3 linked regions of the Xenopus tropicalis genome follow. The protein of the gene in region 2 interacts with the protein of the main gene of each other region in a pairwise test. Links are inferred from orthologs where the notes say so. Each region holds a gene or a part of one and is shown on either strand. Other genes may lie near its edges. The genes, in order: vesicle-associated membrane protein 5-like, stx16 and napb.

Region 1 (3,685 bases), on a different chromosome or scaffold from region 2:
GCCCGGGGGTAAGTAAATATGGCCCGTGAGCCAAAAAGTTTGCCCACCCCTGAACTAGGCAGTGGTATGAATAAGAGACAGGAATATGAAGTGGAACAGGAATATGAAACATATGAAATAGAAATATGAGGACTTAGAAAGATAAGTAATAAAAAATAACAATTGTTGCATTTAAAAGCTGGAAAGAGTCAGAGGAAGAAAGCAAATAATTCAAAAACTATAAAAAATATTAAATTTGAAGACCATTTGAAAAGTTTGAAATAACTGGCCATTCTATAACATACTAAAAGTTAACCTTAAGGTAAACTACTGCTTTTATTGTATAAAAATGATGAATGTACCAGTGAATTATACTCCTAGATATAGAAGGATTGTGCTTAAAAAAGTTGTGTTTCTGACTGATTTATTGAGAAATTCCCCCAAAACCCCACTAGTCCCGCCCATCTGTGCCACTTCCTGCTGGCTGAATTCTCTGGGTGAGCTGGGGAGCCGGCGGCTCTCAGTACACTGCATTGTAGGATAGGAACCAATCAGCAGCTAGGCTGACCTGATAGGGAACTGAAGCCTTTCTTTGCTTGCGTGAGTGCAGGGCTGTGATTGGCTCTCCCCCTCCTGCTGTGCTTCTGGCAGGGGCTGTTAGGACACGCCCACCCTTCATTTGAAACATGGACAGAGAACTGATAGGATCTATAGGGAGCTCCAATAAAGGGGCCATTTTTACAGAGAGGATTAATGTTTAGCCTAAAGTGAAAAAAGCACCTTATATTATTCATTATTGCCTACAAAATTAGAGGTTTTTTCCGTGTATCCTATATGTCTCCTTTAACAGCCATCAAGTTGCCTGCTATGCACACTTTAATATTTATACAGAATCCTTCAATCGGCATTATGGGCCTTCTTGGAAAATACCGTATTTTACCATCGATCCCGTAGGAGTGGATGATGAGACAATGCTATTCTTTCCTGGAAGGGCCATTACAACAACATCTGTGTTTGGAAAAGGAAAACTTTACCGTCACAATACTCAGCCATTTAATGGCATCTCCCACTGACCACCTGACAGGAAATAATGTAGGTTCTACCATAACAGGAAGTAGTGTGTTTGCTGTCCATTGACAACCTAGCGGTGTATGTGTGCCTGTGTTTGTGTGGGAGCACAGTTCCTTATATGAGCCAGAAGGAGGACTTTAGTTGGTAAAATGGGATTATTCCATAGTACATAATACTAGAAAAGTATATTTTTCATGCAAAGCCTTTCTTTATATGAAACATTGGATTACACATTGGCTGTTTTATGTGATATATTTTTACAGAAACCTGCATTGTACAGTTTCCCTTTACTCCCAAAAGGCCAGTGCTCATGTGTGATATAGTTCTATTATCATGGACTTCCTTAGAACCCTCACAGCACTCTCTGTTTTTCCAACCCCAGGCGAGCAACAACCTGGAATTATGTCAGCGCAACGCAGAGGAGGTGAAAGTCTTGATGAAAAAGAATGTTGACACGGTCATTGAGAGAGAAGGGAAGATCTCTGACCTAGAGGATCGATCCAATGATTTGCTTAACATGGTATGTCATGGGACAGGCCGTACGTACATGCAGTGGGCATACACACTTCTCTTTCCTGTGTGCAGCCTGCTGTGGCACACTTTTCATTCCCTTGCTTCACGTTTTGTATCCAGTTTCCCTCCCTTTGTATGCTGAGCGCCTTCCACACCCCTGTCATTATTCATACAGAACTGAGCTTGCTGCCACCCACCCCACTGTTAGTGTTTTGCTCCCCTAACATCAACATAGCTGGGCAGATGGGCATAACATTTGGAATTACAGTTCTCTGATGCCCAGCCATTACCTGCTTGCTTCAGAGCAGTGCAAAGCAGCCATGAAAGCACAGGTGGGAGCCAACTCGCAGCAGGAGTGCTTTGCTTGCAGGTGGAAAATAAACAAAAAATCTCATGTTAAACAACTCATGTAATAGATACACAATTTGAAGGAAACCAAATGTATTATGTATATTTATAATAGCTAAGGTTACTGTCTTGTCACTGTCTAGGACTGCCATGCAACTAGGGAAACAGGCCCATAGTGTCTTGTTCTGCCTTCAGTTCCCAGGCGTAACTCTGTGGCCCCAAAACTGTGTTCCTTTCATTTCCTGATGTGGATATAGTTCATCTGTCAGGTTCATTTCAGTTAAAAAGCCTATTCTGATTTGGCCAGTGCAAGCAGGTCTGGACTGGGGTTCCAAATAGACCCTGACGTTTCAAGTACACAGAGACCCAAACAGCCCCCCCCCAGCCCAATAAATAGTGACTGTCTATGGAATCTTACAGCAGCCCCTCTGGCATTTGCCTGAATCCACAGATTGTCAGTCCGGGCCTGAGTGCAAGGCTCTTCTATTGGAGACCCATTTGGTGTGCCCGGGAACTGGTATGATTAGTTTTGATTGAGCAATGTAGTACATTCCTTTGGCAGCAGGCCAGTCATACCCCCTTGAGAAACTGCAAGAGTGGGGGGAGACAGACGCTCCATGCAAGGAAAAAAGGAAAACATTGAGTAGGTGGGAGTGGGAAGGAAAGAACTTTATAACGTTGGTACAACGGGAGTGTGCATGTTGCAGACCTTTCATATTCCCACCTACCTTATTTAACATGCAAGATCAACACACAGCAGCGTGCATGTCTGCTTTCTGAATTTCACTAGAAAATGACCAGACTGTGGATGACAAGGATATAATATATCTGAATATTATAGAAATATTTAAAGTAGCAACTTTTTTTTTTGCACTTAGGCCTGCAACTTCCAGAAAACGGCCCAGACAGTGGAACGCCATACCCGGTGGCAGAAGTGGCGCTGGTACATCATTGCTGGAGGAATTGTAATTGTAATTGTGATCATCCTCATTGTCATTATTGTGTTGTTCACACTGCCAAACAATGAGACCCCTAATAATGCCAGTGGAGTGCATTAGATTAAAGGAAGGGTGTGCACAGGCCCAGACTGGCAATCTGTGGATTTTGGCGAATGCCAGATGGGGCTGCTGTAAGATGCCATAGACAGTCACTATTTATTGGGCTGGGGGGGGGGGGGGGCTTTTTGGGCCTCTGTGTACTTGAAATGCCTCGGCCTACTTTGAATCCCAATCCAGGCCTGGGTGTGCACCACTTACCATAAACTCTTGTAGGGTGATGGACTTTACTGCAAAGCTTCCCCTAAAGATCATAGCTCCTTGTAGCTTGTCTACCTGTACTTACCTGCAGGGTTGTACCCCATTGTTTTTTATTTGCAAAGAGTGTTGGATTACAGTCGTTTTTATTTTGCTGACGGTTGTGTTACAGTCCTTTCTGTTTATCTGCATAGAGACTTGCAGAGCACTGATTCTTTGTAACCCAAGAGCGGCACCGAGACCCTGTCTATGCCTCGAAGATGGAAATAATCCTTCCTTCACAAAAAGCACAATAAAATATAGTTAAACAAATCTATGCCCGCCTATTTCAGTGGGGAGAGGAAAGAGTTTAATGGCCTGGGGGGCAAAAGAACACCAGAGAGAGAATGGGAGCAAAGGTTCGTGGACTGGCAGGTATGCAAAAGAATGTTATTTATTAGGCAAACTATAACAGCAAGGCAGCAGCCCCATGGGAACCCGAGTGTCATAACAAAGATATTAAAATGGGAGATTTATGTAAA
Region 2 (3,753 bases):
AGCCCTAACCTGGCATACGGTTCCTGCCCATGCCCCGGGCACAGTAATGGGGGGGGAAGCCCTAACCTGGCATACGGTTCCTGCCCATGCCCCGGGCACAGTAATGGAGGGGGGGGGGAAGCCCTAACCTGGCATACGGTTCCTGCCCATGCCCCGGGCACAGTAATGGGGGGGGGAAGCCCTAACCTGGCATACGGTTCCTGCCCATGCCCCGGGCACAGTAATGGAGGGGGGGAAGCCCTAAGCTGGCATACGGTTCCTGCCCATGCCCCGGGCACAGTAATGGAGGGGGGAAGCCCTAACCTGGCATACGGTTCCTGCCCATGGCCCCGGGCACAGTAATGGAGGGGGGAAGCCCTAAGCTGGCATACGGTTCCTGCCCATGCCCTGGGCACAGTAATGGGGGGGGGAAGCCCTAACCTGGCATACGGTTCCTGCCCATGCCCCGGGCACAGTAATGGAGGGGGGGAGCCCTAACCTGGCATACGGTTCCTGCCCATGCCCCGGGCACAGTAATGGAGGGGGGGGGAAGCCCTAACCTGGCATAACGGTTCCTGCCCATGCCCCGGGCACAAGTAATGGAGGGGGGGAGCCCTAACCTGGCATACGGTTCCTGCCCATGCCCCGGGCACAGTAATGGAGGGGGGGGGGGAGCCCTAACCTGACATACGGTTCCTGCCCATGCCCCGGGCACAGTAATGGAGGGGGGGAAGCCCTAAGCTGGCATACGGTTCCTGCCCATGCCCCGGGCACAGTAATGGAGGGGGAAGCCCTAACCTGGCATACGGTTCCTGCCCATGCCCCGGGCACAGTAATGGGGGGGGGAAGCCCTAACCTGGCATACGGTTCCTGCCCCATGCCCCGGGCACAGTAATGGAGGGGGGGGGAAGCCCTAACCTGGCATACGGTTCCTGCCCATGCCCCGGGCACAGTAATGGGGGGGGGAAGCCCTAACCTGGCATACGGTTCCTGCCCATGCCCCGGGCACAGTAATGGAGGGGGGGAAGCCCTAAGCTGGCATACGGTTCCTGCCCATGCCCCGGGCACAGTAATGGAGGGGGGAAGCCCTAACCTGGCATACGGTTCCTGCCCATGCCCCGGGCACAGTAATGGAGGGGGGAAGCCCTAAGCTGGCATACGGTTCCTGCCCATGCCCTGGGCACAGTAATGGGGGGGGGAAGCCCTAACCTGGCATACGGTTCCTGCCCATGCCCCGGGCACAGTAATGGAGGGGGGGAAGCCCTAACCTGGCATACGGTTCCTGCCCATGCCCCGGGCACAGTAATGGAGGGGGGAAGCCCTAACCTGGCATACGGTTCCTGCCCATGCCCTGGGCACAGTAATGGAGGGGGGGAAGCCCTAACCTGGCATACGGTTCCTGCCCATGCCCCGGGCACAGTAATGGAGGGGGGAAGCCCTAACCTGGCATACGGTTCCTGCCCATGCCCCGGGCACAGTAATGGAGGGGGGGAAGCCCTAACCTGGCATACGGTTCCTGCCCATGCCCCGGGCACAGTAATGGAGGGGGGGAAGCCCTAACCTGGCATACGGTTCCTGCCCATGCCCCGGGCACAGTAATGGAGGGGGGAAGCCCTAACCTGGCATACGGTTCCTGCCCATGCCCCGGGGCACAGTAATGGGGGGGGAAGCCCTAACCTGGCATACGGTTCCTGCCCATGCCCCGGGCACAGTAATGGAGGGGGGGGAAGCCCTAACCTGGCATACGGTTCCTGCCCATGCCCCGGGCACAGTAATGGGGGGGGGGAAGCCCTAACCTGGCATACGGTTCCTGCCCATGCCCTGGGCACAGTAATGGGGGGGGGAAGCCCTAACCTGGCATACGGTTCCTGCCCATGCCCCGGGCACAGTAATGGGGGGGGGAAGCCCTAACCTGGCATACGGTTCCTGCCCATGCCCCGGGCACAGTAATGGAGGGGGGGAAGCCCTAAGCTGGCATACGGTTCCTGCCCATGCCCCGGGCACAGTAATGGAGGGGGGGGGAAGCCCTAACCTGGCATACGGTTCCTGCCCATGCCCCGGGCACAGTAATGGAGGGGGGAAGCCCTAAGCTGGCATACGGTTCCTGCCCATGCCCCGGGGCCACAGTAATGGAGGGGGGGGGAAGCCCTAACCTGGCATACGGTTCCTGCCCATGCCCCGGGCACAGTAATGGAGGGGGGGGGAAGCCCTAACCTGGCATACGGTTCCTGCCCATGCCCCGGGCACAGTAATGGAGGGGGGAAGCCCTAACCTGGCATACGGTTCCTGCCCATGCCCCGGGCACAGTAATGGAGGGGGGGGAATACTTTATCTTACACTTTAAGCCCAGGGGTAAGTTCCCCTTTAATATAACCATTAGGCAGGGCAGCCCCATACACACAGGACTACATTTCCCAGCATCCCCCCAGAGCCTCCCTGAGTTCCATGCAAGCCAATGGCGGCCCAGCTGCACCCCGACACAAGCCCAGGGCCCCTCACAGTCCATGCAGCCCCATTCCCAGCACACACAGAGGAAGCTATAGGCCTGGGGGTGCCCATCCCGGCCCCCCATTCCCGGCACAGGAGGGCCACCCCGGGCCATAGAGACACACCGAGCCCCGCCCCCCGGTGTCACAGACTCACCGCTCCCGGGCTCCGCGCACTCCCCGGGCGCCTCTCATTACTCACTTGCTCGGCCAGAATGTGCCGGTTATGGGCCGCATTGTTCCGCAATAGTAAGAAGGCGTCGGTCAGCCGGCGGGTCGCCATGGTCCGGCCTCAGCCCACTCCTACCCTCCCCAGTACCGGACACTCAAACCTGAGGGACCCGCCGCCACCGCCCCTCCGACCTGCGCCCGGCTCGCCGCATCCCACAGAGACGAGCACACAATTCCACTTCCGCCCCTGTCACAGATACTTCCGCCTCCAGCGCCAGAAGTCTCTCCCCTTTCCGCCTCCACCGACTGAACTGCATTTCCGCCCTCAGTGTGATCAGGTGACCGTGACGTCACATACTACTCGAATGGCGCGCCTCTGGAATCTGCCCTTCTGGAAACTGAAGCCTTAGGTAAAGGTTCCGGGCGTCAGGGTTGGCGGTTTTCCCGCCAAATTGGGCTACTAATTTACAGCCCAGGCGAGTTTCCAAAGTACAAACCCGCCAAGGTACAGATTTGGGCTATTTTTTTGGAGCCTTGGCGGGTTTGTAGTTTGGAAACTAGCCAGTTTTTTTCCCTAGGAAACCTGACGTACCTGACCCACTGCATGCTGGGTAATGTAGTTTGTAGCTAACAATTAGCCTACAGCTAGGATTAATATAAAACTACAATACCCAGCATGCAATTGGACAGTATAGACAGAGGCTCCCATTTCTATTCTATTCAGGCTGAACCTGTCTGTTCTATAACCTGCTCCCTGCTCTATAGGGTATGAGATTGTACCATTACTCTCTATTATGATGTGGGGGGGCTGCCATTTGTCACTTTCTGCAGTTGATCCTTAACTCAGGATATCTTGGGGCTTCTGGGAGTTGTAGTTCAACACACCCATATGTATATCAGGTCTGGGGTTAATGCAACATTCTGAATCCATTTCTGTAGGGACTTCCCAGCTGGACTGGGCACAGAGGGAATTATCAGCCATCCCAGTAACTGGGCACAGAGGGAATTACCGGCCATCCCAGTAACTGGGCACAGAGGGAATTATCAGCCATCCCAGTAACTGGGCACAGAGGGAATTATCAGCCATCCCAGTAACTGGGCACAGAGGGAATTACCA
Region 3 (3,653 bases), on a different chromosome or scaffold from region 2:
GACCCCCATTTAGGGTGAAGACACATGCAGCTACTTGTCGTGGCTACTAAAATAGAAAATGCTGATCATTTACCGATAATTGTCTCTACGTGTGTTTTAACAGAGGCAATTCTTAGTACTGTCTATAGCACGGTGTTTTCTGGTGTTCAGTAGCCATGAAAAAGTAGCTGCTACTAGTTGCTCAGTGTGTCTTCACCCTAAGGGCTCTGGCACACGGGGAGATTAGTCGCCCGCGGCAAAACTCCCTGTTCGCGGGCGCCGGTGGGATGGCAGGGGGAAGGCAACTCGGGGAGATTAGTCGCCCGCGAACAGGGAGTTTTGCCGCGGGTGACTAATCTCCCCGTGTGCCAGAGCCCTTAAGAGCTGGAAAGAGAGGAAGGCAGAAACTATTCAAACATAAACATAACGTTGCTAAGAATTAGCTATTCTGACATATATATGACATATAAAAGTTATCTTAAAGGTGAACCACCCCTTTAATACAATAACCAGATAATATATAACAAGGCACTAAATTTGTCTTAGAACCAGTACCCCAAATCAGCCAATCAGACAGTGGAACAGTAAATAATACCTGTACCTGCTGATGGAATGGGACTAGAGTCAAGTTTGATCACAATATTACAGGCCTTTGCACATATACAGAGTCAATACTATGCAGCAGATATAAAGGAGAATAGAAAAGTAACAAGTTACCCACCTTGGCATTTAATTCATCCACAATGAAATGGCACAGTGCGGCCTTGAAGAAATATTCTTTTGCGCTGTATTTCAGTAAAGGATTATCCATTGTACTTGTACCAATCTGGGAAAAAAATCAGTTTCAGTTTGAGAAATAAAATGGCATTATTTTACTCAAGGACAACCTCCTAATAAATTTACAAACTTCACTAAATCATTCACACAGAGGCTACACACTCATTATAACATAAATCCTAGCTGTTCCCAGGCTATGTATGAGAAATAAATTATTTTTATTTACAAGTGGAATATATATTTATTAAATATTTTAGATTATGCATCACACGTACACACATATGCTCATTTCTGTTGATTTTTGTCATGCTTGGAAATTGATTAAAATCATAAATTTGTATTTAACCTCATTCCTCTTTAGAAAAATCTATTTGTTTGCAATATTACAGTATAAATATTAAACTGCTATTTAACTTCTAACCTGTTCGTAGATTTCAATTGCTTTCTGGTACTGCTCCAGCTGAGCCGCATAGGCAGCCACTTTCAGAAGACACTTGTTAGCAGAACTGAAATGCAATAAACCGAAGAAAAAAAGACTTTTAAGCATCAGAGAACAAAATAAGAACCAGTTACATTGGGTACATCCCAGAACTTGTCTGCTAATGGTGTCAATATTCTTTTTCCTCCGTTGTGTAACCAACAGCTCTAACTCTAGCGCCAATCCGCCATACAGGGTTGGAATTCTGTATTTATTCATTAGCCTTCATGCTAAATACTGACCATAGAGGCTGCAGCATATTATTATAAAATCCCAAGCCTGCATCAGGGAACAATGCGATTAAACAGCACATACCCACTCCCACAATTCCTACTGTGACCCCCATTTGCTTCAACTGACACAGGAGACCTACAACAAAGTGTTTGATATACGTGAGGACATGATTCTGACCTTTACATCTATTTCTGGCAATGGTTAGAGCAATATGTACTTGAGACAGAGTGGAAATGCAAATGATTATTTAAGATGAAAATATGGGGTTTATAGAGCCCATAAAGACGCATACATAACAATGTATGTACCTATACGTGTGCAGCCCAGTATGAATGTGATTGTAATTGAAACATAGTGAGAAGATTTTGATGTGTATATATCAGTTTGAGCATTTCTCCCAACGTTAGTTCTTCTCCACAGACTACATACTGTATACTGTGAGTAAAGGAGGAAAGGTAAAAACTAAGTAAGCTTTATCAGAAAGGTCTATGTAAATACAGCCATAAGCACTCACAGAGTCCTCTATCAAAAGAAACAGGATTTTTGTCTCCTTTTTTGTAAACATGATGTTTGGGTGTCTGACTTCCTCTCTCAGAAAAATCCTTAATTCCGTTGCCAGAGTCTGCGCAGTTCTCTCCTCTCTCCCCTCTCCCATAAGAATTCATAAAACTCAGTCCCCCCTCCTTTATGAATGTGTGATCTGAGATAAACCGCTAGACTGCAAACAGCTGCTGCTGTCTTAAACAAATGGAGAAAGCTTGTAGGTCTCTTTACTCAGGTATGGCAATGCTTTCTGCAGAATAAATATATTGTTCTAGGTGGCACTAATGTGGTGAATCTATTGGCAGTAAAATGCCAAAACAACTTTCCTTCTCCTTTAAGACTGAAAAAGCAATCCTTTTATGGGGTCTCCTCATGAATGGACTGAACCATTGCTATCACTATACTATTGCTGTACTACGGTGTTGTCCCCAGCAAATCCTCTTCCTGTCCCTGCTGTCAACACTTGGCTGCTGAATTTCTTAGGTGGGGATGTCTCAACAACTAAAAATTCTGGTGAAAATTGGTCAAGCGTGTGTCATAGACTAATTAGTCCTCCATAAACACACCAGGATACTCTGCCATATGTTACTATCTTACACAAAAAAAGCCATCGTATGACTTTGGCTGCAACCTAAGCCCCCTTCGTTCTCTTACAGGTGAGAATTAGTGAATCCATTAATTGAACTCACATATGAAGCAAGTGGAATCTCAATTAAATTTGTAAAGGTGTGGGAGAGCTGGCTTGATGTCTACCCACCAGCTGGGGGCATCTAATCATTTAATACATAGAGAACTATTAGAAAATAGGGAAAGGTACTAAGAAGACATATTCAAGAAGCTTACCTGTTTGATTCTTCTCCCTTGTAATAATCTGCAGACTGTTCATAATGTGCAATTGCCTAAGAGATAAAATGAATATAATATATAAAAATATTGAATTAAAAGGTAGATTCTTTTTGCTTTAAAATGTACATAAAATCAGGTAATAAGAATTACCTTAGAAATATAATGAAGTTTGCCTGATATTTTAAATCCTAATATCTTAGGGGCAGATTTATGAAACTGAGATTAGAGCTGACCACATCAAATTCACCCACTTTCTATTCATTCCTATGGGGTCTTAAGAAGAGCAGTTATAAATGAAAGTTAAGAGTTTGCCATTTGATTAATATGCTTCTAAAAATCGGAATAGGAATGAACAGAAAGTGGGTGAATTTTATGTGGTGAGCTCTAATCTCACATTTTGATAAATCTTCTCCTCTGTTTAAAAAGCCAAATGAAAACAGTGTCCTGTTTCTGTTGATGGTATATTTGCACCCACCAGTTGTGGTTTCTGTGTCCAAAATGAAAAGTAAATGCCCCCATAGTACTAGGTCAGTGATGGAAACATCTCTGTAGCACCAGTCACTATTAATCGACAGCAGGAAATGTCATAGCTGTGTCTGCCTTCAAATATATTAAAGGGGTGGGTTCACGTTTAAAGGGAAACGAAAGGCAAAATCACTTGGGGGTGCCAAAATGTTAGGCACCCCCAAGTGACTTTAACCGCTTACCTCGTACCCCGGGCTGGTGCCCCTGTTAGGAGAAAACAGCACCAGCCCGGGGTACCTGGAGCGGATCGCTTCCTTCTTCCGGCTTCCGT

What was found.
Region 1: the proteins of stx16 (region 2) and vesicle-associated membrane protein 5-like interact in binary tests that used the Homo sapiens proteins (3 or more experiments, as listed by UniProt). The two-hybrid records come from large-scale screens. The link is inferred for Xenopus tropicalis from reciprocal best matches to the Homo sapiens genes STX16 and VAMP5.
Region 3: the proteins of stx16 (region 2) and napb interact in binary tests that used the Homo sapiens proteins (3 or more experiments, as listed by UniProt). The two-hybrid records come from large-scale screens. The link is inferred for Xenopus tropicalis from reciprocal best matches to the Homo sapiens genes STX16 and NAPB.

Annotation. Positions count from the first base shown.
Region 1 is NC_030679.2:125,676,829-125,680,513, forward strand, and holds vesicle-associated membrane protein 5-like, read left to right. Parts: upstream 1-788; 5' UTR 789-939; coding exon 940-1,071; intron 1,072-1,432; coding exon 1,433-1,570; intron 1,571-2,789; coding exon 2,790-2,969; 3' UTR 2,970-3,480; downstream 3,481-3,685. UniProt on the Homo sapiens protein: May participate in trafficking events that are associated with myogenesis, such as myoblast fusion and/or GLUT4 trafficking.
Region 2 is NC_030686.2:2,857,634-2,861,386, reverse strand, and holds the start of stx16 (syntaxin-16), read right to left. Parts: upstream 2,920-3,753; 5' UTR 2,749-2,919; coding exon 2,623-2,748; intron 1-2,622. UniProt on the Homo sapiens protein: SNARE involved in vesicular transport from the late endosomes to the trans-Golgi network.
Region 3 is NC_030681.2:24,913,286-24,916,938, forward strand, and holds part of napb (beta-soluble NSF attachment protein), read right to left. Parts: intron 2,911-3,653; coding exon 2,855-2,910; intron 1,263-2,854; coding exon 1,178-1,262; intron 806-1,177; coding exon 701-805; intron 1-700. UniProt on the Homo sapiens protein: Required for vesicular transport between the endoplasmic reticulum and the Golgi apparatus.